Linked DNA regions of Drosophila melanogaster. The protein of the gene in region 4 interacts with the protein of the main gene of each other region in a pairwise test. Each region holds a gene or a part of one and is shown on either strand. Other genes may lie near its edges. The genes, in order: eco, Es2, CG31038 and koi.

What was found.
Region 1: the proteins of koi (region 4) and eco interact in a two-hybrid assay, tested with the Drosophila melanogaster proteins (one large-scale study listed by BioGRID).
Region 2: the proteins of koi (region 4) and Es2 interact in a two-hybrid assay, tested with the Drosophila melanogaster proteins (one large-scale study listed by BioGRID).
Region 3: the proteins of koi (region 4) and CG31038 interact in a two-hybrid assay, tested with the Drosophila melanogaster proteins (one large-scale study listed by BioGRID).

What each region holds. Positions count from the first base shown.
Region 1 is NT_037436.4:7,334,899-7,341,097, forward strand, and holds eco (establishment of cohesion), read right to left. Parts: upstream 4,443-6,199; 5' UTR 4,412-4,442; exon of another isoform or gene 4,368-4,411; intron 4,348-4,367; 5' UTR 4,263-4,347; intron 4,144-4,262; 5' UTR 3,994-4,143; coding exon 1,040-3,993; intron 978-1,039; coding exon 773-977; 3' UTR 544-772; downstream 1-543. Other genes in the region: lark, read left to right, coding at 5,171-5,872, 5,978-6,199. UniProt on the Drosophila melanogaster protein: Acetyltransferase required for the establishment of sister chromatid cohesion and couple the processes of cohesion and DNA replication to ensure that only sister chromatids become paired together.
Region 2 is NC_004354.4:8,459,819-8,463,881, reverse strand, and holds Es2 (Es2), read right to left. Parts: upstream 2,404-4,063; 5' UTR 2,312-2,403; coding exon 1,960-2,311; intron 1,818-1,959; coding exon 664-1,817; 3' UTR 533-663; downstream 1-532. Other genes in the region: Sptr (sepiapterin reductase), read left to right, coding at 1-361; CG15347 (uncharacterized protein), read left to right, coding at 3,059-3,116.
Region 3 is NT_033777.3:29,875,067-29,880,086, reverse strand, and holds the start of CG31038 (uncharacterized protein), read right to left. Parts: upstream 3,029-5,020; 5' UTR 2,972-3,028; exon of another isoform or gene 2,161-2,971; 5' UTR 1,716-2,160; coding exon 277-1,715; intron 1-276.
Region 4 is NT_033778.4:6,809,369-6,817,061, reverse strand, and holds the start of koi (klaroid), read right to left. Parts: upstream 6,044-7,693; 5' UTR 5,887-6,043; intron 5,275-5,886; exon of another isoform or gene 5,161-5,274; 5' UTR 5,134-5,160; coding exon 4,979-5,133; intron 4,531-4,978; exon of another isoform or gene 4,368-4,530; intron 4,282-4,367; coding exon 3,946-4,281; intron 3,890-3,945; coding exon 3,309-3,889; intron 3,026-3,308; coding exon of another isoform or gene 2,748-3,025; exon of another isoform or gene 2,250-2,747; intron 2,003-2,249; coding exon 503-2,002; intron 446-502; coding exon 333-445; intron 270-332; coding exon 57-269; 3' UTR 1-56. Other genes in the region: ubl (ubiquitin like), read left to right, coding at 6,625-6,663, 6,723-6,861, 6,927-6,970; CG15237 (uncharacterized protein), read left to right, coding at 7,364-7,492, 7,551-7,638. UniProt on the Drosophila melanogaster protein: Component of the LINC (LInker of Nucleoskeleton and Cytoskeleton) complex involved in the connection between the nuclear lamina and the cytoskeleton. Is required to nuclear migration in eye and to anchor klar in the nuclear membrane.

The DNA.
Region 1 (6,199 bases), on a different chromosome or scaffold from region 4:
CTGGAGGGCAGGGGAAGAAGAGTGAGAAAGCGGTTCAACCACCACGCTGCATGCCACTTGCACCCCGAAACCAATTGCCACCGATTCCAATTTGTCACATTGGGCGTGGCGTCACCAAAGTAAACTAACTAGCAGCACCAGCAGCTCCCCACTTAGCAGCTTATATGCGGATTGCACTTACCATTTGCGCGCGATTGGTGGTCACTGAGATTGGCACAAGTCCCATTCAGGTGTGTTACACACTTCTGCTCTTAAATGTTATTAATTTCAGCCACTTTGCTGCTACGAAAACAACGCCCAAAAGCCAGGCTCAGTGTGCTAGTGATGGCACTTTGTGGACTCGCCGCATGGTTGCAAGCGATCGATAACCATTCATCGATCGCAAGTGCAGGTTGTGTAAATTTTTTACTGCATACATTTAGACATTAAGTTATTTGTTAGAATTTAAATATATTAAACAATGTTTATAAACATACAATTTAAAAATTAACGTATGTGCTATTTTTGTAACACCAAATTTACATGTTTTAAAACCCGACACGTAAGATAAACAATATTAATCTATATTTTCAAAATTAATGCGACTCGAAGAAAATATCGTGTTCATTGCGTAAAAACAGGCATATTAAACCACCATTGTAAACATGTTAAATTGCGCGTCTTCGTGCCGCTAGTAACATAATCGCACTTGCTTATCAACTATTACAGGTTTCGAAGCAATCCTAACTCAAAAACAATCCAGCTATTCAATAGCTTCAATAGATTTCCCCGATCACTGGTCGTAGGTGAGGAAGTTATCCAACCCGGTGAACTGGCGTGCCAGAGCCCGACCATCGTCGGTGGGCGTACTGAAGGCAATGCACTCCCTAGCGATCTCTTGACCGAGCACCGTGTGGCACTGGACGACTCGCAGCAGCTTGCTGGCGATCCCGCTGCGTCGCTGCAGCGGAGAAACCCAGATGCGTGAGACGCCGCAGCTGAAAGAAGGCACATTTTAGCCGTTGACAAGGGAAGGGGCATGCAGTAGGGGATGTCTTACCTGGCCGGGTAGCTTTCCTCGCTGAAGTAGTCCGTGCCATCGACCTGGATGAAACGATGGGCCTGCGAGAGGGGCTGCACCAGGCAGAAGCCTACGATCTGCTGCTTGCGCACTGCTATGAAGGCTACAAAGATCTTTGGCACAATGTACGAGGAATAGCCCAGCTCTTTGTCCACCACACCAATGAGATCCCGCAGTCTGTCGAGCCGAGCTGTCGGAGCGCGTTCGTTGATCCGTATGATGCGCCCGTCGCTGGCCCATTCTGGATAAACGGACACAATGTCCTCGTCGATCCAGCCCTTGAAGCGCAGCACATGGATGGAATTGTGGTACTCGCGATGAAGCAGCTCCTCCTCCGGCTCGTGCACGGTGTACACCAATCCGCACTGCTGGCACTGCCGTGCTCCGAAGGCCTTTTGACCAGCATCGATCTGGTACTGATTCGATCCACCCGCCGCCGTTAGCAATCTCATCGATGTATCCGGCCGACGCCGCAACGATTTCTGGACAACGGGCTGTAAGCGTTGAGTGAATATGGGGAAAAGCTTTGGCTGAACTTCCTCTACTGCTGGCGCATCCTGTTTTGGTGCAATGGCCACCGCTGTATTTTCCACTGTTTCCATCTGAGCAAGCTGCGCAGCCTCCTCGCTGTTCACCACCATGTATAAATTGTCCACAATTTGATTGGCCTCGTCCTTGTAGTCATCCGGATTTGCAATAAATATCTCAAAGTTCTTTTCGGTGCAAATATTGTTGCTAATGAGAAACTCTAGTAAAATTTGCTGTTGCTCCACGACATTGGGATCATCGGTTTGGTATGGCAAACGTTGACGGAACTCAGCAAAGGGATCAATTTCCACATCGTTCGCCTCTGGGGCATACTCAATTATATCCGGTAGCGACTCCGTTTCCATGGTCGTCTCCTCCGCATCAATGGGCGTTGCCTGTACCACCGGATTCGCTTCTACAATCTCATCAACCACCGTATCGTCCAGATTCTTTAGGATCGCATCCACAGTCGCCTGCTCGGCGGAAAATATCGTGGCCGACTTGACGCGCACTTGCCGCGGCTTACGGCGTATCGTTTGGACGAGTTCAATCTTGCCCTGGCTGACGCTGGCCCGGATGTTGTCCGTGATTCTCACCTCCATGCAGGTGCTACTACGGCGGCCCGATTTGAAGAACTTTCGTTTGCTTAGATCGGCTGGCTCGGCGGTTGGGGATTTCTGGACCGGCTCGTGGCGAATTATTGGTATGATAGGCTCCACCTCGATGATGGGATCAATGTCTTCGACATCACTAAGATCGGAGAAATCGGCGGAAGTTTCTTGCCATGCGGTTGCTGGCAGATTGTTATTGTTGTTAGCATCGTCGGCTTCAATCACACTCAATGGTTTGGCCATTTTGATCGGGTCCTTGGCATTACGGAGAATCTGGTGGACTTCCTCCACTTTGGCGCGCTCTTCACGCTTGGTGGTGATCAGGTTCTTGAGCCGTTCGTTGCTCAGCGAGTTGAGAATGTTGTCCATATCGGTGGCTGGCAGTCGGTTGGCAAAACCGTGACGCTTGCGTATTTTGTGGTGAACTCCCTTATTAATGCCCAATAGTGGACGGGAGGTTGGCGAGATTTTCGTTGGTTGTTTAAGCGAATTCTTGGATATGGACGGCCGCCTTCTTGACTTTGTGACCGCTTCTCCACTGTGGGAATAGAAGGCCATGGTGGGAATGCTGCTGCTCAGCGTCACCTTGCGCATCTTGCTCTGCGGCGAACCAGAGTCGGCGTCCGCTGAAGGAGCAACCGGGGTGGACGTTTCTGGGTGCTGTCGCTTTTGAGGCTTATGATTGGATGCTTCTTCGTCCGATTCGGGCACTTCGACATCAATCTTCATACTACTTCCTGGGCTTTCTGGCCTTTTTGCTGTGGCAACTTCGGAAGATTTCGCTGTTTTATTGTTGGTGTTTCCTGTGTTTCGTTTTACTGCATCGTCATTTGACTTGAACACTTCTACCGGGGACTTGGATCTGCTTCTGCTGTTTTCTAGCTTAACTGCTGCTGTTTTTTCTTCATCATACGACCTCATGTTCTCATGTAGATGGGCAGCAGCCTTCAGCGTCTTGCAGTTTATATCCGCCGACGTGAAGGGTCTTCGCCTATTCCTGGTTTTTGGACTGATGATTTGCGAGCTCCTTGTTTCACGAACTTCTGTATTCTTCCTGGAGTTCTTACTGCTAGAAGGTTTCTCGTCGTCCGACTGGGACTCTTCAGCTGGGCTCGTTTTCTTCGGTTTAGTTGTATGCACTTGGGCAGTGGTCTTTAGGCTGTGGTTGTGTTTCTTCTTTGATTTTTCTAACATTGATCTTGAATCCTGACCCTTCATTAGCATAGCTGCCACCTTGCTTAGCCTAGTCTGAAAAGATTCTGGCGAGGAGAACGCATCTGGATCCTTTTGCGCACTGAAGGTTCGTGGACTGCGTCTGATGCTATTTCTGGCTCTGGAAGAAGGAGTTCCTTCAGAGGAAGAGGTGGGCGACGACATTGAAGAATCCGCTCGCTTTCTTTGGACCCTCGTCTGACGGGGGCTGCTGTTGCGACTATTGCTGCTGCTGTTGCTATTTAGCCGCATGGTGGCTGTAAACAATTGGGGCAGCTGCTCCGCCGTGGCAGTCATGACTCCGCCACGGGTTTTTTTGTTCTCCTTGTTGGTTTCCGGGCTGCTGTTCGCACTGCTGCTTGACTTGCCGGGGACTGCGGCGAAGAGACTCCTGCCCTTCCTGTTGGCCGCCACATGGGTCTTTAATGGCAAGACACCCAGACTGTCTACGTCCGCATCATCCTCGTCGTCGTTGATTTGGCGCAGCCTGGATCTGGGACTGCCAAACAGTTGCCGCTTGCGCTCCGAAAGGCGCGGAGTGGCCATGCGACTGGGACGCCCACTACCCGTCGGGGTCTCCATGATCGCGCGCAAATCTTTTATTTCGCATTAACTTTGTCCAAATTGTGACTCCTTCGCGCTTTTTTGTAGCTGCCTAGTGTTGGGGGTGGTTGGATCGTTCAGGGTCTCTTCGGTCGTTTGCCAACACATGCCAGATCGTCTATGTTTTTACTGCAATGTTTATATATATTAAATGCATTACATTGTTTTTAAATTTTTTTTACATCAATGTTTATAAAAATCAAATACATTGCAATGTAAATATTTTCTGTTAGTTATAATTTTTTTACCACATTTTACATTTAACATTTTTCTTCGAAGCGATCAAGTCAGCTTGCAGTTTTTCGTAAATTATTTGGACTTATTCTACGATTTCTGTAAAATAAATAAGTAATGTTAATTATATTCTTGATCCAAGACAAAGTATTCAATATAGTACCACTTAACGAGTTACGATCATGATCGCTAGACATTCTATGTTTTCTAATCTTCATATATTTTAAAGATTTCCGTATTATTTTAACTATCCGGTATTTTTACAGAGCTAAGGTGATCATATAACGGGAAAACTCTATCTGGTATTTCCACCCAAGTCAGACTCAGTCACACTCTTCCAGACGTCACACGGTCATATTGCGGACGAAGTGCGAATCGATTTGGAAAAATCTGCTGCTCGGCCTGGAAAGTAGAAAGTATAAAGCTCTGCGTTTATAATTTAATTTGCAGCCAAAGCCCGCTGCCGATCAGGTAAGTTAGCTCCCCCACATTATCCGTACCGCCATTTGAAAGCCACGCCAACGAGAACCGTGAGAAAATGTGAACTCTAGCCGCCGCCATCTTTTTTTATGTATGCGTTAGGCCACAACGCCAATAATGCGATTTAAAACCGAGTTTATTAAGATTACTCGCGCTCCTTGTGCTGCTGCCTTAATGTTTATCCTTTGCTCGTATTGGTTAAAATAGAAAACAATTGCACTGTCTTCTCTCTTCTCTTGAGGTATCGCGTTTGTTCGTCGCCGTTGTCGTCCTCCAACCGCGGTATATACATACAAACATATAGGCAAATATATATAAATATATTTTCGACGCAGCCGCCGCCGCCGCCGCCGCGTAGATATCCATTTTCCGGGATTACCCCACCCAGAGTGATATAAACGATATAACCGTGGACGACCACGCAGCGGAACCCGCTGCCGCCATGCCCGGAGCCGGCACGTTCAAGTTATTCATCGGGAATCTTGACGAGAAGACACAGGCCACCGAGCTGCGTGCACTGTTCGAGAAGTACGGTACCGTCGTCGAGTGCGACGTGGTGAAGAACTATGGCTTCGTTCACATGGAGACGGAGCAGCAGGGTCGCGATGCCATACAGAATCTGAACGGTTATACGCTGAACGAGTTCGCCATCAAGGTGGAGGCGGCCAAGAGCCGGCGGGCGCCCAATACGCCGACCACGAAAATCTTCGTGGGAAATCTAACGGACAAGACGCGGGCGCCGGAGGTGCGGGAACTGTTTCAGAAATACGGCACCGTCGTCGAATGCGACATTGTGCGCAACTATGGTTTTGTCCATCTGGACTGTGTCGGTGATGTGCAGGACGCCATTAAGGAGCTGAACGGTCGCGTTGTCGATGGCCAGCCGCTCAAGGTTCAAGTGTCGACCAGTCGGGTCCGCCCCAAGCCGGGCATGGGCGATCCGGAGCAGTGCTATCGGTGCGGAAGATCCGGGCATTGGTCGAAAGAGTGTCCGCGACTGTACGGCAGTGCCGGAGGCGGACGCGAGCCGCCATCGCCCCTCAGCGCCGGCGGCTACAGAGATCGCATGTACGGTCGTGACCCGTATCCGCCGCCACCACCGCCGCCGCCGTTCCTGCGTGACCGCATCATGGATGGCTTTAGGGTAAATTCAGCATCCATTTGCCCCCCCGATCAAATCATCCATTGTGCCAAGTATTATTCACATTCTGTGCTGCTACTAATCTAAATCTTGTTTTCCCGCCCGCAGGACTATGACTACTATGACCGCCGCTTCGAGGACTCACGCGATCTGTATGAGCGTCGCTATCAGACCTCGCGAATGCGCGACTTCCCACCGCCGCCCATCTCTCGCCGCGAACCCATGCCTCTACCGCCCACCTTAAGCGGCAGCCTGCGCTCCTGCAGCGTTTCTCGTGGATACGACACTATGTTCAGCCGGCGCTCGCCTCCGCCGCCGCGTAGCAGCAAT
Region 2 (4,063 bases), on a different chromosome or scaffold from region 4:
GGGAATCCCAAAGTTGGTGGTTAATCTCAGCACCTTGGCAGCCATTGCACCTATATCCTCGATGGCACACTATTGCACGGTGAAGGCAGCCCGTGAGATGTACTTCCGAGTGCTGGCCACCGAGGAGTCCGCCGAGGACACCCTGGTGTTGAACTACGCGCCCGGCGTCATAGACACACAGATGACCGTCCAGGTTCAGCGAGAGGCCCACGATCCCGCCGTGGTCGCCATGTTTCGAGAGCAAAGGGAGTCCAAGACCATGCTGACTCCCGCCCAAACGACGGAGCGATTCATCAAAGTCCTGGAAGCATTCAAGTTCAAGTCCGGCGATCATGTGGATTACAGGGATGAGCAGTTCTAGCTAGTTAATCAGTATGTTGCTATCTGTGGTAATGGGGTTTTTCGTATTGAAACATTAAAATGAAACTAAAAATGTGCGCAAGTGTTTTTGCTACAACACCCAATACATCTTAATGAACTTCAAAGCTGATAAGATATGTGTATGATGTTTATGATTTACGCATTCTTAAATCTTCTTTCCAACAACTCGGCATCTATTTATAAGAAATATACAATTCGTAACAACACTGTGGGACTATGTATAGTATTCTCTAATGAAATTAAACATGAATAATGTAGCTGGGTTATGGGTAATGTTATGTACTAAAAGAAATCGGCTGCAGTGCGTCGTTTAGTGGGTATCTTGAGCAGATCGTCCGTGAGCGTGGATCCCGTATCAATGGTAACGTTCTTAGCCGGAGTGCTAATCTTGGCCTGCTGTTTGGGTTTGGGTTCACCCAGTATTGGCGTATTGGTGCTCCTCACCACGCCGGGCGTAACCTTTCGTTTTCTGCCGCTCATCGGCGATGGTGTGTGCCTTAATCGGGGCGTGCCGCGGATACCCAGCTTACCCGTGGCCAGTAGCTGCGCTGCCGGCGACATGCTGGCCAGCCGTTCCATATTGGTGCGTATCAGTGGTGAGCCAATGTTACGACGCGCCGTATCCAGAGCCATTTGTTTTTGATTTCGCATCCTTTCGCTGACCCTTTCGGCCAAAGCGATGGCGATGTTTTCGCGCCGAGAGTTCTCATTAATCCGGAACGAGGGTCCTTGTGTGGGCCGCAATGGGGTATCGCCTCCGTCCAGGCGAAAGGGAGTGCCATCGATCTCACCCCAGGTCATTATGGGCGAGAAAGCCTCTCCGGGTCGCGGTGATGGTGAACGCAACAAATCGAAGCCGCGTACCTTCGGAGTAGCTGTGGCACCACCAGCCCCATTTTGGGGCACTTCATCATTCAGCTTTTTAGTGTCCATTTCGCGATGCTTTGCCTCATCGGGCAGCCTGGTGGCATTGTGTTGGATGCTCTGCTTCCGTTCGGCCAACTGGACGCGCTCCTCCTCTGTGTACTCCACGCCATCGGGCACGTACATAATGGAATTCATGTTGGTGTAGTTCCAGGTTTCGATCTTTCTCAGCGGATCTGGCTCCTCGAATTGCGTTTCTATGCTGGGCAGCATTAGGGCCCGCTGCAGTTGCTCTGCGGAGAGCTTCTCATGGTTGTACAGTACTGCGTATTTTTGGCGCAGCTTGGCCTCGGCCGTTTCGATGATCTCCTGAAAGCTCTGGTTATCCTCGCTGGTGTACTTCTGCAGAAAGGCGTCCAGCGATAGCTTCGCGGTGGTGTCCCTGCCCTCGGCATCGCTCTTCTCGGAGCCGTCCGTGGAAAATGGTGTGTCTGTGGCCCGGGAATTTGGCAATGGGGTGTTGCTACATTTCGCCTGACTCACTGGTGTCTCAAATGTGGCCGGGGACATGGCTGAAATGAAGGAATTCAAAAAGTTAATGGGTCTATCTATTGAACTTGGCCAATGTATAATTTCATCAGACTTGATTTCAAGTAAGATAGTAGCAGACAGCGATGTGCCAGTGGTGTTCATCCAATTGAGTACAATACCCACCATTATTCCGTCGGCTGGTGCTTCTTCCTGTCCCGGAAATCCTGCCCAGACTGTAGCGCTCCCGAATCTCGGCCATTTGTACAAAGTCGCGCCGTGACTCCGCGTCCAGGTAGTCGTTTTGGGCACGCAGCCGCTCCAGATCGGGAAAGAAGTCGCGCTGGATGATCTTAGACATCTCCTCGATGTACTTCTCCTCGGTAAGGATCTTTGGCTTGTTCTTGTGGCGCACCATCGCCGTGGGCTTTTTAAACTCGGCGAGTGCTGAATTCTGGACGCGGGCCACTTCCATGGCCAGGCTGCCGGGAGTGCCAGGTGTCCCCGGTGTGGCAGGTGTTCTAGTCGTGGCGCTCATTGCCGTTTATATCTCGCTTTTTTCGTAAATAACTTTGTTTTGTTTAGATATAAAAAGTGAATATTTTTGTCTGCCAGCAAAGTGTGACCGTTTTAAGTTTCACTCAGAATAACAAAACGTCGGTTCAAAATATTTCCCTGTATTTTTTTTTAATTCTCGGATGTAAAAGGTGAAATTAATCAGCTTAAAAGTTTCGACTTCCTTTACAATAAATTGGTGAGTATGAACCAATTTAAATTTAAATAGAAACAAAATGATATTTTGCTAAACTATATTAATTAAAAACTCTGGCAAGGAGTACTTATCGACGTGTTATCGATAAGTGTGGAACGCATTCAAATGCGCGCTAGCATTTGAATTGAAATTTTAATGCGATTAGCTAGCACTTGAAAATGAAATTTATTACGATTTTGCAAACATTAAAGATATATTTTTAAAACATCTGGAAGTTTCGCAAGTGCGCTGACTAACCCGCTGAACATAATTTATGAAAATGAATGTATGCCAAAGAGCGACAACTTTAGCGTCGTGAATCATTTCAAAACACTTTTTTTTCTCAACTCACCAATAGAATTACTGTTGTCGTGGTGCCTTATCGTAAAGCTGTAGGTATATATGAATAGGGTATAAAGCTCGGCAAAACTCAAATCACTCATTGAACCTTTTCTACTCCCTTAGTTCTGGTTCAGCTCCGTAACCAGTCGCAACATTCGATCGTCGTGAAATTAGTTACATCAGTTATCAGCCATGAAGTTTTACCTGTTGGTGATTGCAGCCCTCTCGTTTTTGGCCTACATCAGTTGTGGTAAATGTTGTACCTGCCTAAATGTTGTTCCAAAATAAGTTTCACTTTTAATTTTCATCGGGATCGTATTTTTTTTTTTTTAATTTTCTTTTTGCTCTTTGAATTGAAAAACTTATTGAGTGTTTTATATAAGGTGTGATAAGCGGTGATATCATGGACACGGAAATAAATTCATGATAAGCTATCAATAGGCGAGTTTCCAAAGAAACTTTTAAAGGTTCTTAGCTTTGTAACTGGGCAAACATATTCTTTTTTTTCTAAGTGTGAGTGAGCCAGCAAAAAGATGTGAAAATTGTACGCCATATATTTAAACCATGTGTACATACAGCTGTGTTCAAAAAAATAGCAGTGCAAGAGAAACTAAGAAATGCGACGGTTTTTTTTTCATGTTTCGGGATCGAATTTTTATTCCACTTATTTTTGTGAATTGGAATGTGTAGATAGGGAAAAAAAGAAAATGTCGTTAGTTTTCTATGCTATCCTTTTTTTTATTTACATTCTTGAGCAAAATCACAACTTTTAGGCTGTTCAACAGAATAGCAGTGTCTGGTTTTGACCAACGTAAACTCCCGAAATGATCAATATTTTCTAAAAAGTGAGTTTGAATTTGAATTTGAATTTGTATATTTAAAAGGGCAATAAATTAAAAAAATAAAAAATAAAGAAACGCAGAAGCAAATCGGCTAAGAATAAGTTCGTTCTAAGTCAAGTTGAATTTTGTTACTATTTTTTCATAGCACTGCTATTTCTGCTTGTTTTAATCTATATTTTCGAAACTATTAAAAAAATGAATGTGAAACATTTGTTGAATTGTTTAAAATTAAATACCTAATGATATTATAAAAAAAATTTTCCCATTAAAACTTGAAATCTTAAGATTTTTTTATTTTAAACTCAAGCACTGCTATTTTTATGAACACAGCTGTATGTCAGCGGTAATTTAATTT
Region 3 (5,020 bases), on a different chromosome or scaffold from region 4:
GCGATCTTGGATGATCGGGCTCAGCTCGAAACTATTACGACCTCCAACGTATGGGGCCGTTTTTAAAGATCTTCAATTGATGGTCAAGATTTTGTTTTCCCTCGGCAAACAGCTAATTTCCATACTCATTAACGTTTAATGAACGGCAATAGCAATAAATAATGTTATAGCTTCATTTATGGATGCTAAAACTATCTGTTCCTTCATTATCAACGAATCTCATTAGATGCACTTACTAGATATAATTTTAATTATAGTAATAGTTTCGAGACTCACCGCTTTCCGTTGCGAGAACGCTTCTCGCTCTCGGCCTCCTTGACGCTGTCCCAGCTGTCGCCCACTCCCGAGGACATGTCGTCCAGCCGCTCCTCGTCCTCCATGCCCGAGTCCTCCAGGCTGATGTGGCAGCTAGTCAGAGTAACTGCCGTGCCGTTGTCGCCCACCTCGATCCAATCCGAGGTGCGGATGCGCTGGGATCGCTCGGTTCCGTAGGGCGAGGAGTCTGTGGAGCAGCCCGAGGGGCAGCGCTTCCTCGAGGACGAGCCCTCCTTGCCAATGTTCTCCTTCAGCGATTTATTGACTGCGTAGGTGAGGGTGTCCTCCTCGTCGACGTCACCATCGGCATCCTCCACGTTGTCCGCATCCACATCCTCGGTGTCGGCATCATCTATAGAGTTGTAGCGCCTGCGAGATGCCACGCTTTTGGGCGTGGAAGTGGTGGGTGGCGGCGACTTGGCGGTGGGTAGCTGCTCCAGGGAGCAGGACTTGTTCCGCATGGCAGCCAGCTCCGAGATGAGCATCTCGTGGAAGGCTTGCTTCTTTTGCGGCGTGTTGCCCACGCTGATCGAGCTCTTCATGGTGCTCGTCTGGCCGCCGTTAACATTGATCCTCATGCAGTTGCCCGATGACTGGATGGCCAGGACATCGGACTCCTGCTTCAGGGCCTCGTGCTTGGTTATGATGGTGGTGTCGGTGGCTGCCTGTTTCTGGCTCTGGTTGATGATTATCTCCGAGAACAAACGCTCGGCGGCGTTCTTCAGATTATTCTTGATCTCCACGGTCCGTCCGGACAGGAATCCTCCTCCATTGTGCGGGGAGGATGCCGAATCCTTCTGGCTGCCATCCAGGGTGGTCTTTGATCGCCTGAAGAGTCCATTTGATGATGGGCTGGGAGCCACCACTGGTATGTCTTCCACATCTAGAGTGGCCACGGGCACTTGAACAATTTTCCGTGGCCTGGGAAGTGGCTGACTGGCCGGCTGGAGGCCCGCCCTCTCGAAGTCCACCTTTCCCAGGCTCAAGCGGGTGTCCTTGCGGGGTGTGGTCTGTGGCGTGCTCCCGATCACGCTTATCGAGTTATGCCGGTTGACCGTGACCACCGAGGTCATTGAATCCCTGGGCTTGGCCGTGGGCACATCCGGTGCCTTGCGCAGCTTCAGGGGCTTCACCGGCGGCGTTGGCACCGCCGTGGTGGGCGTCTGGGTCTGGGCCTGTTTCTTGGGCAGATTGACCGTTGGCGACTTGTAGACCAAGGTACGACCCACTGCACTCAGCTGGCTCACGAAGGTGGGCTTCTTCTGAATGATCGGAGGGGCTCCTGCTCCATTGGCCAGCTGAGCTGCTGCTTTGGGCCTGGGCGGCACTGGTGGTCCTGGCCGCTTCACCACCATCGTGTTGGTGGTGGTGGCTGCTGATCCGGCGGCTGTGGTGGCCATTGGTGGTGGTGGTGGTGCCTTCGCTGTGCTACACGTTCTCACGCCAAAACCGCACTCGAAACCAGTATTTTTAGGTCACTTCTCGAACGGCAAGCCAGAGACTACTGCGCTTATTTATTATTATTACTTAGCATAAGCGCGCAAATGGGAAACTAGTTTTGCTCTTCTCACATGGCGATCTCCTCCGCAGCTCCTCGTCACCACCTCATCCACATCTCCTCCGGTCTCTCGAGTCGATCTCTGATCTATTTTGAATATAGGCCAATGCAACGGAGCTAGTTGGATGCTGGATATTGTAAGTTGGATTGCTAGTTGAACGTTGGATGTTGGATGTGCCAAGTAACACTTTATTGGTCGGCTATTCAGTTATTCGATATGGAATATAAGCATGGCCGCCGCTCGGCTCTTTGCTCTTTTGCGAAACTCGTTTTCGATCTTTGGGGTTCTGTGGATTTTAAAGTGAAAGGGTTCCGTTTATTTTGGTTTTGGGTCTCTGCATCGGGCAATGGAAACTTTGCGACCAACAACGCCGTGCCATTTAATTGTTCATTAGTTTGGAAAAAGAATAAGCGACCTAATCCTTGGATTCTGATCTGTTTAAAGTGAAAGGGGATTGGTTTTCTGACTTGGACCTATGAGATGGGAACATTAACGCTTAAGGCTTGTTATATCAATTAACAAAGCTCCTCCATTTAGATAATTATCTATATATTGATAAACTGAAAACAATATGGGTACAACGATAAACAAAAGACTTAAGTAAAACCATATAGGCACTGAAAACACTCTTTATAAGTCGGGGCCTTTAAAAGAATGGCGCTGGCAATTAACGGTTTTTGTTGTTTGCACAAAGAAGTTTCACTTTAGCACTGAATTCGGCACTAGCTGGATCTCGAGTTTACGATTTTTTAACAGCCTTTATTTGTTTAAATTTTACGTGTATAATTTAAGCACTGCACCCACACCCACACGTAAATCACTGAACCGATTTTTAAGGCGGGGGAGCATGAGTTTACAGGGTTTCCATTTTATCGGATCGGTTCGTTGGGAAAACCCCAAGATATGATAGTTATCTCTTGGGTATTCTAATGATTGAGTGAATCACCAAACAGTAAATACTGCACTTTTGCGCTTCAAATAGCCAAGACCATTGCAGCGGACACACCAACTCGCACACACCCGGGCACACTCACACACACTAGCACGCAGATGCGACCGACACGGATGCGAATACGATTCGTTTTACGATACGATACAGATGCGATATATCCGCTGTACGATGCGCTTTGCACGAGAGCCAGAAGTGAACTGAAACCGAAACGGAGAGAAAGATTCGAAAGAGCGAGGCTCAGCGCACCTTGCTCAACATTGTTGTTGCTACACGGCCGCACTGGTATGCGTGTGTGTGTGTGTCTGCGAGTGCGACAGTGTGGGTGCCTTGGGTAAACGAGTGACGCGGCACAACTCGAAAAGTCTGCACTTCAAAGATAATTTTGCATCGCATGCAGTCACGCAGTTACTCTATTATTTACCAAGCTGAATGCAAATAAATTCGGTTTATTTTTATTTGTATGTAAAATGAATTATATTTCGTTACAAAAATATAGGTAAGCATTTTAAACTATTGAGTAAGTTCTTGTATTCGTGTACAAAGGATTATTTTAGGAACAATTATTTCTTATATTCCACTGTGAGCACCTACGTAAATAAGGAACTTGGCTTCTTAATTAAACAACAATTTGAAATTGATTTCAACGCAAATGTTTCGTATCTTTTACTACTGTACCAAACTATATAAACCAAACCCAAAATACACGGTTAAAGTTCCGAAAAGTTAGAAACCAAACGGGTTGAACTTTAAATTAACTTTAGCTTTTCAACCGCAACCGAATGGAACCCAACCAGCTCTTATACACCGCTGCTCCTCTCTTTTGGCCGATTCTCTGCTCCTCTCCAGGTTTTCGGAAGAGAAACTTGGCACATGGCCAGAAGTGCATTGATTGCTTCTTGAAACGGGTGGTGCTGGAGTACGATGACGATGATGAGGTTCCCCGGTTGCCGGCGTCTGGCTGCTGCTCGGTTTTCCTTTTTTTGGGGGGTCGTCTGGCGTTGCAACAGCTGTTGTTGCCGCATCGCGACAAAGCACCCGCCACCCGAACTCCCCAAAAAAAAATCTTTATTGATTGCCTGTGCAAGTACCGGAGTACGTGCCGTAGGGTGGACTTTCATGGGGAATCATAGCCTATATACAAGTTAATGATCAGATATAACAAGAAAGCCAAGCGTTTAATAAATTACTCATACGACCTGTTAGGCAAGCTAACATAGATTCCTAACACGATTCCTCTTTCGGAAACATCCCATGACTTTATTTTTATGGAGAAAGTAAGATCCCAACCAGGACATTTATTTTACTTAATATTGCTTTTGGATACTGACATGCCTTTCCTTGTGAAAATCAAATGAAAAGGTCCACACTACGTATGAGTGATTTGTATGAGTACTCATGAGTACAACTCAGGTCCACCCTAACAAATATGCAGAAATTTTGCAGAATTGCTGCGCCATGAATGCATACAGTACATATAAAAACATAAACATAGCCAGTGTAAGTAATAGCTCTAATCGTGCTTCCCTTTCAGCACTTTTACTATTGTCATTGCTAAGCAAAAGGACCCAGAATGCGACACTAGAATGGCCACGTTATTTATGGTGCCACATAGCATTGCACATACTACTTGTCGCAGACTATCAACTTCGTTTTCGGGGGTAATGCCATTTGAAACTGACGCATTCATTATTGAGCGAGTAGACGGTCAGCCCCAAACTATGCAAATCAGGCGGGACGGCAAAAAGGCAGTCAAAGGGAGTCAAACCATTCAAACCGAAGGCTGTTCCACTCAAGTCTTGCATTTCACTTGCTCCCTCATTAATTATCTATACGTCATCCCTTCCCGGAATTATAATACCTAAGATTTACGAATGTCTGCAGTATCAGTATAGAATTACAACCGCCTGTTTACTTTGCCAGCTACTTAACTTTCAACCAGCTCGCACCTCAGGAAGCCCCAAATATGAAGGTTAAGCTTTGCTAAATACCATGCCTGGCTGGAGGAATGAATGTTTAGACGTACTCTAATCCGGAAGCACTTCAAAACCAAACCCCCGCCAACGTAAGTTTCGTTGGTAGAATTAAAGTTACATTTAGCGTCCTGGTTGCACATATTTACTTTACACAAAATATATATCATTTAAAAGTTAATTATAATAGGTTAGTTAGGTTAAGACTTTAGGCGATAAAATAA
Region 4 (7,693 bases):
ACAGACATTATGTACACCTGGCAGTACTTAGGTCACTAGAAGAGATTTGAACAGATTTATGTGGCCGGCGGCTTGCCGTGCACGCGAAACCGGTAGAGGCATGTATAGGTGGGATGGCCATGGTTCGTCTCGATCCGCAGTTCGACGATCTCGTACGGCCGTTTGATGTCCAGGTTTTGAACGGCAAAGTACTGGAGGGAAGCACCATTGTCCTCAAACTGGTAATCGCCGAACAATACGGGTTCCTGGTCCTTCTCCTGCTCCAAGCCCTGAGTTGATGGATAAGTCGTATTAGAAATGCACCACTTCCTTTCACCCTTAGTCAAACTTACCCAGACAGTGAAGTTGCGAGGAGCTGATTCTATTCTTCCTGTGGGGGATAGACTCTTCGGTATGTGCTCTAGGGTGAATCCAGTGACGTACACCAACGAGTTGAGCTTTAGCACTGTGGGAAGAAAACTATAAGGACTGTTTTAGCAATTACTATTTACCCGCGACTTGCCTAGAAATCCGGGAAACCCTTGGAATGCCCAGCATTCCCCTGGCTGCACATTGGGTGAAATGGCGACCCGCGGCGTGTTGGTGGGATACCAGAGTGGAATTCCAAACACCGATATCTGGGCTGACTTTGTCTGGTAGCTCTCAGTGCAACGCGTGGAAAGGATTTGGCCGCCCGCCGACTCCAGGGCGAAGTCCACCAGGCCCGTCTTGTCGGCATCGTAAATAGCTAGCACCGTCTTGACTATCTGGCGCACCTCCTCTTCGCGGATATGGCCCTTCAACGCTTTGGTGCTCTCGTTATGCTTGGCCTCCACAACCAGAAGAATCTCCCGTTTGAGTCGTTGGCTAATGTCGCTCATCAGCAGGATGCTCGAACGCTCAATCTCGTCGCGAATGTTGTTATTGGTGCGCTTGTTCAGCTCTAGCAGCTGCTGCTCCAGGTAGTCCTTGGCCACAAACATGCTGCGTACCCAGGTCTGCAGATCGAAGTCATCCAATTGGCCAGCGGAACCGCCAGCGGTGGATTGCTTAAAGCCCAGAATTTCGACAAGGGATAGCTTGATCTGCTTGTTGAGAAGAGCAAACTGCGAGTCGTTAAGCGCAGACAGTTTGTTTTCTATTTCAGCCAGCAACCCGTGGAAGCGCCTATCCTGGGAAAGTTCGTGCTGCTGTATGCGTTCCAGCAAATCCTCTTGGCCGAGCTTCAGATTGCTGATTGATTGGTGCAGATCGGCGTTCTCCGCTTGCTTGTCAGAGAGAGCCAACTTAATGAAGGCGATTTCCCTGTTCAGACGCTCAATTTGGACTTCTGCATCTGAGGAACCGGAACTCTCCTTTGGCTCGAGCTCTCCCACCCGAAGACTTATTCGAGCATCTACAAAGTCTGCCAATGCTGGCGCAGCAAGAATACGCTCCAGCAGGGATGCAAAGTCTATCCTGTCCAATTGAATGGTGTAGTGCGATTCGTGGAGGTGAACCTCTGCTTTAATTAGCTTGGTTATCTCCTCTAAGTTAGCTTGTGATAGTTTCGCTCCATCTTGCCAACCGCCTGAGCTTTGCAGCTCCAGTTTCAGTTTTATGGCCAGATCAGACAAATCCTTTTCGCTTAGCTCCGTTTTGTACATAATCTGCTTGAGGTTTTCCTTCATCAGCTTAACAAAGAGTTCAATCTGTTGCGGTGCGAGCTCCTTGGAATGCTGCTGCATTTTCAGCTCGACCAACTGCTGCACGTAGCTGTTTACATGGTTTAAGATATTTTCGTATTCCTCGGCAGTCAAGGCTTTCTGGATGTTCTGTTCAATGCTGGCCATGTTTACCTTAATGGCCTCGGCTTCCCGCTGGGGACTCCTGACGGTGGGCACTTCCATCCAACTTTTCAAGGTGGCTCCAGCATTTGAAAATCGACTACGTAGGGAGCCGAAAATAGATAGTGGCAGCGGCAACAGTGCTTCCGCACGCTGAACGTAAGCACTACGTTGATCCTCCTGCAAGAGCAACCATCCTGGGGAAGGAGAAAATTAAACATAGCACTATTAGTTGGCAATCCTTCTACATTTACAGTCCCTACCAACTTCAATTATCAACCGGACTGAGGTAACAGGGAACTCGTTTTTGGGGTTATTCCAACACAAATGCAGAAGGATAGAGTTCGATTCTGGCCAACTAATATTGCTTTGTTTACATCTTACTTACCATTTAGCGAACTTCCAACAAATGGCAAATAAAACAAACAACTCTTCTTTGTACTTGATGTTTCATATGAAATTGTTTGCGATTTATTTTTGTATAGACTATTACAAAGCAAACAGTGCACAAATTACAATTAAACGTTGTTTAACAACAAGTAAGATTTAGTTAGGGCACTAACCCAGACGGATAACGGCCCTAATTGTTGGACAAGAATGAAGTTAACGATTACGAAAGTTTTACAATTTGAACAGCGGCGAGCTCTATCCTTCTCCCATCAGCCTGTGATGTTGCATTTTGTTGGGAATTGTGTCGGTTAGTATGGTGGGGTATGAGAGGTGGGTTTGCCTATGAAGTGGGTAAATGACGGGACGAAAAACTATAAAGTAAGTGCGCAAAACTGCGGGTCAAGCAGACGGACAAAAAACGGATCAAATGCTTTATTTTGTACTCATATTGTTCATAAAGAAAGTTTCTCATATTTGTCTAAGTGCAAGGGGCGTTGCACCCAACCAGATCACTAAATCTGGTAGCTGTAGCCTGCCCATTGCAGATGTTCCCTACACACGCTCATAATAGACTTTATCATCGCCCTGAAATAACTGACGACCCTTGTTGACCACGTTCTGACCGATGGTTCTCAAGTACAAAACGTAGTCGTCGGCCCAATCGCGAACGCGGACCGCATGCTCGGCGGCCTGAGAGCGTAGCGATTCGAACTGCTCCTGGTTCAGGTAGTCTTTCACATCGATTTTGGGCAACTCAGGTAGGGTGAATGTGTATTCGGACAGGGATTTGGGTGGGAAAGTTTCATTGGGGTGTATGTAATAGAACAGACCTGCAAAGGCAAAGCAAATTAGGCGTTTAACCTTGGCAGACGGTGAATGGAAAATAAAATATGTCATCACATGGCCACTTAAATCTGATCCGCGGGATTTTACTAACAAATTATCGATGGCGTCACGCGACTGCCAACGACCAGACGAGTTTATAAATACAACGACTGGAGGTGATCTATATGCATGTAGTATGAATTCTCGAACCGGTACAAGGTCACGGCACACGCTCTAACATATTTTACTTTACATCAAAAATCGGACGGTGCTTTAAATCCTACTCACCCGACAGCAGCAGCAAGGGCAACAAAATCAGCAGAAATATGAGGAAGCGCTTTTTCGACTTGTTTTCCGCATCCGAGGATCGCAGCAACCACGTGTCCAAACTCAGCACCGATCCGATGAAAACATACAGGTAGCGCAGCAAACTTGCAAGTCCTCCTCCGATGGTCTGTACTATTTTCCACCAAAGTCCAACTTGTTGACTCTGCTGGCGCTTAGCGTGGTAGTTTTGATAGGCAGTCGTCTCCGTGGCCGAGAGATTGGTCACCCGACTCCACACGGTGGTAATGCTGCTAACAACCAGTTGGATGAGGCGGATAAGCCACCAGCTCTGCTTTTGCTGCCCAAATGTGGCGTCCAGTTCATCTGCGGAGTCATAGTTAACCTGCTGGGTATACTTGGACTGGTAGCGGCGGCGGATGAACTCCTCTTGCGCAGGGTTCTGCTGGACCATGTAGTTGACTCGATCGTTATGGTTCTCTAGGCTCTTTCTGGACATATTGGGCATGGCCACAATTCCTGGCGCCAACTGGCGTCGGTGAGGGGACAGTTCTGAGTAGGTATAGTCCGTCTTGGGAGTTTTGCTGCAAAATAGCATCATTAGTATACTGTTTAAAATGTGTAGAAATGATTCACTCACTTCCAGTATTCACCAGCATCCCTGTACTCGATGTAGGCCAGATAATCGCTGACATTTCCCGAGCTGAGGTTACCGTTCGATTGGTTTAGCTTTTCCTGGGCGGAATTCAGCGTGTTTTGTGTGGTCTCCAGCTGGCTTCTGTTCCGCGGTGTCGATGTGGCGCCGCCGGATCGCTTGGTGAGAATCGACGTGACTGTGGCCGTGATCGAGTTCTGTTTGCGTTTGGCATCCGGAGTCATGTCGTCGCTCGAATAGTCCGAGGTCAGCTGGGCGAACGCTTTTGCCCGGGTTTTCTTACTGATACTCGACTCCACTATATGCTCCTCTATTATCGTTCTGCAGAGAAGAGGTAAGATTTGGGAAAAATATTTCAGTAAGTCCGTGATAACGTGCTCGGAATCGTTTGAAACGACGAGTACAACGTATCAAAACAAAAACACAAAAATATGCTTATAACCGCCGCTGGCCTTCAGCGCAAACGACTGTTAGCCCACCCCAGCATGCTCGATTTAGAGGCTAAAACGTGAAAACGATTTCTGACGGCCGACGTTGGACTCCGAATGTCGTCATCGAGTCTTGAAGACTGATCATCAGACCGACCAGGCGCTCTCGAAATAGGCGCCAAAAACTAACGAAGCTCGACCAGATGCTGCACCCTGTATGCGGCTTTGCCTTCGTTTTCTACCCGCTTCGAAATTCAAATTCGCGGCGAGCGTGAATAACAAAAAGGTGACGTCATGGCGGCAGCACACGGCATACAAACATACAGTCGCTATGGATGTGTCTTACTACAGTCCAACTTGCTTACTGAAACCAATGGTCAGTATAGAAAAAGGTGACTCAGGACCAAATAGGAAATAATTATAGAGTTTAAACTGAATTCTCCTAATTCTCAAAATGAAATTGACTCGAACTCCGTAAACATATTGTATGCTTACAATTTTACTACTTATAAGGGCTAAAAATAATGTTATGGGTTCGCGATAAAGGGCTTCGTCCGTAGGCCTATTTCGGGAGTATCCCAGATACTTACTGCACATTGGGGGCCGCCGATTTCCTTTTGAGGTGGTGCACATGCCCCTCCTCTCCGGCGTGCTCACAGTTCTCATGGTCGCAGCTCGATCTCAGGAAGGGGGTCTTGGAACGCGACCGCCGACGCGTTTCTATCTGGTATGTATTTTCGCTCATGATTAGATTCCCTCCAGTGCTCGGGCCCTGCGAAGACACAAATAATTAACATGGGCAACGATTTATTTGGAGTAAACATTAAAACCAGTCTGTGTGTGTGTGCGTGTGCGTGTGTGTGCGTGCTAGGCGTGGGTTGTTTACAATTGGGCAGCTGGAAAACATTCGGTCTCTTCACTTCAATGCTCGAGTGCTTTCCGAAGCGAGCTTTCCCCGCCACATTAATGCCGCATTATGCAATGCAATGCGTGTGGAAATGAGCGCAGTGCCCGGTTTTTAATTAGAATGCATTGGGGAGGTAGGTAAGTAGGCAGGCCGCAAAGACCGCGTCTAAAAATAGGGCGGAGCATTTCGGATCGCGAATTGCTGCCAGTGACCGTGGGGATCCATTGGTGTTGGGCCACATAGCCGAAAACGACGCCCGCCCGGCCTTTCGCGCACAGATATCGGACTCCAGGGAGCGGGGTAGGGATGTAGACGCTACAGGGTGCTCCGGCGGACCACGCCATCCACAAACAACGCGCGATAATCAATACAATGGCTTACTGCCCAAAATGAGTTCGCAGCACAGGCGCAAATATTCGTTGATTCCGTGATTCGGTGAAATGGAAACCCAAACAAGTTTTCCACAGCTGCGTCATAGCGTACATATATGTACATATGTATGTACGTGAATGTAAAAATGAGGCACGCACGCACACAAACAAAAACTCCGCACAGTGCTTTCGGCAGTTTGCCCGCAAATATGTGACATACTTAGTAATATTTCTTGTACTGCCGTACTAATGAATTCCTCCGTTGAATAGCTGGATATGAATTTTGTTTGCAAGCGCCGCGACCGTTTTAAAAATAGCCTCCACCGTCACGACGGCAAAATCACGTCTATTCCGAGCGGCGAAAAAATTCGAATGAACGGGGAAGACACATCGATTATTCTAGCAATCATCGATGTTTCGCCGCCTATCGATTGTTCACATGGATTATTAAAGGGAACGTTGAGAAACGGAATTTGTTTTCATTAACCAAGAGAAATAATGGGTCAAGAATAAAAAATTTAATTTTTACACTTTTATCTTTTGTTCAACAAAGAAAAATAATTTGAATGAGGTGTGCAAATATGCAAACATACATTATTTTTCTATTAACGCCGAAACATTCGACTTCTGGCTTGATAACTAAGAAGAAGACTGAAATTTAAATATAAATTTGTTAACAAATATTATCGTTTTACAAGGATGTGATAGATTTGCGTCATGACAAGCAATTGAGCTTTCTAAGTATACTTTCAGACTTCTGATATCTTTAACTTCGACTTTCTATATGATTGTTATTTAAACATATTTAAAATTAAATAAAATATCGATAGCATTGCGGACAATTAGCGATCCCTCAAACCACTCGGTATTCGGTAAAGGGTATTTGACAACCCTAAGCAATAATACCACAACAAATCAAGAATTTATTGTTGTGATTTGTCTAGCAAAGCCATAAAATATGATAGAAATAACGTGTAACGATCGTCTTGGCAAGAAGGTAAGCAGCTAAGTACCCAAGGCAACTGCAAGCATCGTTAACCAACGATTAACCCACAGGTGCGCGTCAAGTGCAACCCGGACGACACGATTGGGGACCTCAAGAAACTAATCGCGGCACAAACGGGCACAAAGCACGAGAAGATTGTCCTGAAGAAGTGGTACACAATCTTCAAGGACCCGATTCGCCTATCTGACTGTAAGCCCTTGTTTAGTGTCCTTGTAACGCCTTGCTTTACCCGCATTTCTTTTTCGCTTTCTTAGATGAAATTCACGATGGCATGAATCTGGAACTTTACTACCAATAAAACTGCAAGGGAATACCGTTCCTGTGTCTAGTTTGTCCAATTTTTATAGCTTCTTTAATAAATAAAAAGATTTTGAATAATATATATTATTCGTTTTGGTTATGTTCTGATTCTTAAGGTCAATTTGTAATAGTGAAGATATATATTTTTGAGTAAGCTGTATTAAGCCCTTGGTTATCGGACTTCCCTTGACAATAACAAAATACATAGTTAGATTGATGAATTACAATTACAATTAATATTGTAATTTGCGTTTAATGCGCCCCTACGACTACGCCCCTGTAAAATTGGTATTATTTACAGCGTATGTTGCGGCGTTGCCAGATCGCATCAAAGGCTTCCAGAGAAAGAACAACAAATATTGAAAACAGCGCATTCAAGATTCCGTCGAAAATGTCAATGATTCCATTCTTTCCCACGCTCAAAGTCTCCGTGGCCAATCGCTACTGGTTGGACATGGCTCCTGCCTCCGTAAACGAAGAATCGCAGACGCGGCGTTATGAGGATGAAAGGAGCAACTGGGTGAGTTCTCTCCAGACACCGCTTTCTGTATAAATTGTTATAAACTTAAACCGTACAGCGAGAGTCCCTTAAGACGGCCGGCACAGATCTGCAGCCGCTGGGCAAAATGCTCACCATACCCGGAATTGAGACCGACGACGAGGATGGTGAGTACGGCAGGACACTGCATTCGGATTACCATTATCGTTTTTACGTCCAATT